Linked DNA regions of Yarrowia lipolytica. The protein of the gene in region 1 interacts with the protein of each later gene in a biochemical or structural test. Links are inferred from orthologs where the notes say so. Each region holds a gene or a part of one and is shown on either strand. Other genes may lie near its edges.

The links.
Region 2: the proteins of YALI1_B21323g (region 1) and YALI1_B05438g form a complex in vitro, tested with the Saccharomyces cerevisiae proteins (2 studies listed by BioGRID). The link is inferred for Yarrowia lipolytica from reciprocal best matches to the Saccharomyces cerevisiae genes VPS4 and IST1.

The regions. Positions count from the first base shown.
Region 1 is NC_090771.1:2,130,961-2,134,306, reverse strand, and holds YALI1_B21323g (uncharacterized protein), read right to left. Parts: upstream 1,993-3,346; coding exon 706-1,992; downstream 1-705. Other genes in the region: YALI1_B21356g (uncharacterized protein), read left to right, coding at 1-525; YALI1_B21313g (uncharacterized protein), read left to right, coding at 2,986-3,346. UniProt on the Saccharomyces cerevisiae protein: Involved in the transport of biosynthetic membrane proteins from the prevacuolar/endosomal compartment to the vacuole. Required for multivesicular body (MVB) protein sorting.
Region 2 is NC_090771.1:542,445-545,507, forward strand, and holds YALI1_B05438g (uncharacterized protein), read right to left. Parts: upstream 1,521-3,063; coding exon 1,500-1,520; intron 1,442-1,499; coding exon 590-1,441; downstream 1-589. Other genes in the region: YALI1_B05420g (uncharacterized protein), read left to right, coding at 1-380; YALI1_B05454g (uncharacterized protein), read left to right, coding at 3,000-3,063. UniProt on the Saccharomyces cerevisiae protein: Involved in a late step in sorting of cargo proteins of the multivesicular body (MVB) for incorporation into intralumenal vesicles. The lumenal sequestrated membrane proteins are targeted into the vacuole after fusion of the endosome with the vacuole.

The DNA.
Region 1 (3,346 bases):
TATCTCAACCGAGTCAACGGCAAAATCGCAGGTATCATCATTGCTGGAGACTACGAGGGAGCAGCTATCATCACATGGGAAGACATTGACCCAGTCAAGGCCCAGGAGGATCGAGATGCTGCCGATCGAGCAGCTGCCGAGGCAGCTGCGGCCTATGCAGCAGGTATCCCCCTTCCTTCGCCGCCTCTGTATCAGAAACTGGGAGATGCCGTGCCTCTTAACCCCAACCAAGTGGCGTATCTTGATAAGTTTGCCGTTCTGAAACGGTCCCAGGGCTCTTCGTCGGTAGCAGATGTGGTTTTCAAGGGTATGGTCATGTCTCAGTTCCCCAACGAGCTGCTGTGGCGATCTCGAAAGAACAACCCCGTGAACAAGTGGTACTTTGACCGGTCGAAGGGCAGTTTCAAGATCCCCGGTAGCGAGTGGTGCATGTTCTGGACGGGTCGAAAGACTCGAGAACAGTACCTTGAACGATTCGTCGACATTTGTACCAGAATCGAGCCTTCTTTGAGGGAGGAGTTATAGCCTGGCAAGGAATAGACATGTCTATAGAACATAAAGTAATGCAGCATTAATAATGAATTGAGTCTCCACGTACTACAAGTAGTAGATTACAAGTCGCACTAACACAATCTGGTCATATCATCTCATTAACTATCTACTTAATATATGCGTGACAAACGTTAGTTATTCGCTGCTCCGATGCTAATTACCCTCCTGGCCAAAATCGTTGGTGAAGTCTTCATGACGAGTAATGTCGTCGTTGTTGACGGTTGGTCGAGTGGACTTTACAGCCTTGATGAAGTCCTTGAGAGTCAGCTCGGGCTCCAGAACTGTTCCGTCCTCCAGTTCCATCCAGTTGAGCTCGGTTGCCTGGGGGTCTCCAGGAGAACAGGGGGTATACTTAGTCACGCCGTCGATCTCCACAGGTTTGAAATGCGTTGCTTCCTGGATTTTTCGGATTGGTTGCATCAGGGCGTCTCGGACAGACACTGCCACATCATGACCCGAGTATCCGTCGGTCATCTCAGCCAGAGTTCGGAAATCCTTCTGAGTCAGTGCACAAGGGGTGTTCCCGACGTTTATCTCAAACATACGGGCTCTGGCCTCGGCATCGGGTAGGGCAATATAGATTCGTCGCTCAAAACGTCGTCGAATAGCGGCATCCAGCTGCCAGGGAATGTTGGTGGCACCCAGAACGAGAACGCCACTAGCGTCGTTACCCACTCCATTCATCTGGACCAGCAGCTCTGTTTTGATTCGTCGTGACGCCTCACTCTCTCCCTCTCCTCGAGGTCCACACAGAGCGTCGACCTCATCGATGAAAATGATACTGGGCTTGTTCTCTCGGGCCATGGCAAACAATTGCTTCACCAGTCGTTCAGATTCACCCATCCACTTGGACACAAGGTCGGAGGATGAAACGGAAAAGAAGGTGGAGTTGGCTTCGGTCGCCACTGCCTTGGCCAGGTACGACTTTCCGGTACCGGGGGGTCCATACAGCAGAATACCAGACAAGGGCTTTCGCTTGCCAGTGAAGAGATAAGGGAATTTGACGGGCAAGATGACTGCCTCCTTTAGAGCTTGCTTGGCTGCCTCCAGACCAGCAATATCTTCCCATTTAACGTTGGGCTTTTCATTAAGGATGGCTCCAGCCAAAGCTCCTCGCAGCTTCTTGGTATCATTGTCGTCGTCTCCAGATCCGGCCCCGCCGTTGGCTCCTCCTCCCTGTTTTGCCGCTTGGGCTGCAGGCTTGCTTTTTTGCTTGTCGAGATGTTCCTTCAGCTGCTCTGCCCGAGAAAAATACTCTGTGATTCGCTGTCGCAGCAGCTCCTTGGACTTGGGGTTCTTCTCGTACTTGATTGCCTTGATGAAGTAGTCCAGTCCGTTGACATACAATTCGTGTGCCTCCTCGTACTTGCTTGCGTTGTCGGCCTCGATCGCCTTGCGCACAATTTCTAGCGCCTTGGATAAAAAGTCCACGGTAGCCATTTGTGTGGGTGGTTGTTGGGTTAATACCTCTCGATAAGTGCTGTAGGTGGTGGATGGACCTCAAGTTTGAGTTTGAAAATCTAGGTGGGAAGGCTGAGGTGTGGCGATAAGGTACGTCGTAAAGGGAGTAAACGTAACTAACCGGGTTGTTATGTATAAAATCCAATAGCTGGAAATCATATAAACACATTAGGACGTGTTAAACGCTTTCGGCGGCAATTTTTTTCATTCTTTGGATAGCAGTTATCACGGATTCCAAATTAATAAAAGTCCGCCATCATAGTATAGTGGTTAGTACACCACGTTGTGGCCGTGGAAACCTCAGTTCGATTCTGGGTGATGGCAATGCCAATATTTTTTGCGTAGTCGGCGTGCTGAATAAGCCACAAGTTGCTAGCAAGCTTTAACCGGTGCAGTTTATGCTCGTAGCTTGTTCAAACAAGCACGTTGCCTCGCCTCGGGAACCAAAACATCTCACAAGTTGCCTACCGTACGCACAACCAAGATAATATCTCACGTTTCGACAGGATTTAGGCCATTACAGTAGAGTCAATTGGGATGCGGAGCAAATACTGTACTTCTTCATACTGTATACAAAAGAAAGGATTTCATTAAACGCGACCCCGACTCTTACGGTCACTTGTCCGTGTAAATATATTGGTACATACTGTATTCAACTGTTCAATAAGTACCAGTACGTACCACTCCAGTAGTCATTTCGCCTTGCATTGCGATGCTATATTTGGAGTGTGGTGTTATTATGCGACAAACAATAAGAGATCTTGCATAACCCCTAAAATTATTGGGAGCGCCGTTGCCTGGCCAACCGTGCTTGCCAAAACAAGGTTGCGTATAAACAAACAGTCACCTCGCACTATACAGTACACCAGCACCATGTAGACCCAGCACCACCGACATGTTGGTACATAAGAGAAATATCGCCTCTTTGTACAGAGCGCACTAGCTACCGGTAACAACCAATTCGACTCTCAAATGTCGAACAAGCCTCGAGACCTGCCCGAGCCACCGTCGCCGGCGTTTGTCAGCCAGCGTCAGTCGCTCCACATTGATGCCAACCCCTTCTCCAACCCTGGCTCCCCTACTCGATCTCCTGAACGACAAGGCGCCTATGGATCTCCCTATGGCACTCCTCGAGCCGAATCTCCGACCCGTTTCGGCTCCCCTACTCGGTATGGAAGTGCTCATGGAGCCCGAGGAACCCCTCGAGCAGAGTGGACTCGTCGAGAGACACCTGTGAGTGAATTTGATCCCATTGTCATTGACGACGATGATGATGATGCGGTTCTGGCTCCTCCTCCTGTGTTCCCCACAGTCGATTCTCTACGACAGTCGC
Region 2 (3,063 bases), about 1.6 Mb from region 1:
AGCAGTACAGCTTGCAGACAATCGGAAGCGCCTCCAAGGATAGCCTCAACAAGTTCGAGGGCGAAATGGTGACGCTTGTCAACTCGGGCAAATACGAAGACGTGGCCAAGGTGGCCCAGTCGGAGATCAACAAGGTCAGAGATATCATGGTGGAGAACGTGGAGCAGATTCTGGAGCGAGGAGAACGAATATCGTTGCTGGTGAACCGAACCGACGAAATGACTAACAACGCCGTGGCGTTCCGCAAACGAAGCACCCAGGCCAAGAGAAACTTGTGGTGGAAGAACGTCAAAATGGGCGCTCTGTTGGGCACTGGAGTGGCGGGTCTTGTCTACGTAGCGATTGGCTCTGTTTGTGGCTTTGGTTTCCAGTGCGTTTAGACGTGCCGGACTCCTTCCAGCAGCGGCATTATATATATTGGTAGTGTTTATAGTGAATAGGTGGTTTCGAGATGAGAGGGCTAATAACCGAGCCCTCAGCCTTGTCCAGCTTATAACCGTAGCGGTTTACTACAGCTAGACATTCGTAATCCATAACATTTCATTACCAATGCACAATGTATCATGCGAACGCACTTTCCATCGTACAACTATTTCGTTCTCAGGGCGTCCAGTCTCTTCTGAAGAGCGTCAAACTCATCATCCTTCTTAACAGCGGGTCTGGGACGCGGTCGGGTGGGAGAGTCCTTCTGAAACGGCAGCTTGAGCTCGGGCTTGGGGTTAGATGATCTGGGGGCAGGAGGCGAGATGGCGATGGGCGACTTGGGAGGCTCCAGGGACTCGGACAAACGACGAACAGCCTCATTACCTGATGTTGCGGGCAGAGGTTCCTCAGGGAGCTTTTCCTTGAGTCCGCTGGAGGGTTCGTCATCATCGTCGTCGTCATCCCCACCATTCTCCTGTCGTTCCATCTCCTCAAGCTCCTCCTTGGTGTACAGTTCACTGAATGGAGCATTGTAGGCGCGGGCTATCTCTCTGAGATACAGGGTGATGAGCTCGGCGCTGGGGGGCTGTACGCTCAGCTTGGTCATGACCTTTTCGGGGATTTTCACGTCGGGGTTCTCCAGGGCCTCCTTCGCAAAGTCGCGGCCAAACTTGGTGACGAAAATGTCTCTGATAGTATGCAATTCTTTGATTTCCGTACGGGGAGCCGCATAGATGACGGTGCACACGGCCTCCTCCAGGCCAGGATCGCATTCCTTGGCGTCCAGCAGTCCGATTCGAGCCAGCAGCAGTTCACAGTACAATTCGAGAATCTCCAGCAGCTCGACGCTGATGTCGTTTCGAATGATGTTTTCCACGCGGATCCGGGCACTGGCCTCCTTGCCTGCTTCCAATAACCCTGCCATTTCTCGTCGTTGGGCTTTAGCTAGTGCCGTCTCCTTCTGTTGCACTAGTCGCAGACGGTTCACCGCCATTTTCAATTGCACCTTGAGTCGGGTCTGTGTTAGTCAGCTGCTTACGCGGTGGGTGGTCACGTGCGCCTCAGATACTGCTCACCTGAACGGATGCTGTTGCCATCTTGGTTGTAGTTGTTAGTGTCGCAAGTCGTTGATAAGATAACCGGGGTGTGGAGATGTATGTATGGTAGTGGCGATGGTGATGCAGATGGGAGGTGGCCTCGAATCTAATTTTTGGGTGGGGCGATGGATGGAGTGTCGGGTGGCGTAGACGAACAAGTGTGGCGAAGGAGCCGACCGTTCAAACCGCCTGAGCGGTTGTTTTGTGTGGGATTTACTTTCCGGGAGAGCGGCTATTTGACATTTGCCTGCCAAGAAAGTCTAGGGGTGGAGTCAACACTTGGTTCTACCAAGAAAGCCGTCTAACGATGGGTTATTACTTGGTTATATCAAGAAAGTCGTCTAGTATTGGGTTATTACTTGGAGGGTTCAACTAACTGGAGTTTGCATGAAGTTAGCCCGTGGGAATGGGGAGACTGAATTGAAAGAGAACAAGCGATGTACGGATTGTCCATGTCGAGATCATCAGGCCGACTAAATGAAACACCATTGACCCTCAAGCAGCCGAGGAGTGTGTACCAGTGATATGAGTTCACGAGTCTTACCACAGCCTTGTACCGTGTACGAGTATGTACGATACTAGGGCGGTAGAAGGGCGGTGGTTATGAGGTATTCACATGTCTCGGCAGCTCAATGGCAGTTTTATGGTGAATGGAATGGAACAGCGACTTCTTATCAATGTTCAGAATGTCGACACTTGAGAAAAATAGCCAATCAATCTCAATCCAGTTACTATACTGTCAGATCTGAGAAGAAGCATGCTTGTCCAAGCTACCACGTCCCCAACAACAGTACATACACAGTAATACAGTACCAGTACTCGAGGCAACTACAATAATTGCATTAATTGCACGAAGAAACTACATCAATTCACGATCAGCACTCGTTTGTACTCGTACTGACGTAGACAACTGTACTGTCTCGTATGACCGACAGACCCGACTCAGCATGTCAGACAGGGCATGAAAGGGTCTGCCACCACTAGATCGGGGCTCGGACAGTTCGAAATGACGAAAACCAAGTGATTTCAGGCGTGACAATCAGTTTCTCCCGTCAGATCCGCCCTCCATCTGTCTCTCCTACTTGTACTCGTCCTCATACTCGTCCTCATACTCGTCCTCATACTCGTTCTCATCCATCTCCAATCTTAGATCTTTCAACCTTGATCATGGTAACCTAATCAAGGGTTGGAACCAGCTTAGTCAAGAGTCCCGACGCTGACAAAGCACGTATATACACATACACACATAAAGGACCGGTGCAAAGTGCCCACGAGGATCTCCTCCTGTTCTGCTCACCTAACCCACCAGAGTCCCTGCCTCGCCCCTCGACCACATCATGGCACATTAATTAATGCACTGGGATGCAATCGGGTATTTAGACTCTGCCTAACCTCCCAATTGAATATCGCCACTGGAAACCTCGCTACTCTCTCTGACCACCGCACACCACCCCCCTCCCCCCATCCGCAACAAAGAACATGTCTTGGTGGAGCTCCACGCCTTCTATTGACGAGCAGGTCGAAAAGGCCACGTCAGAGTCAC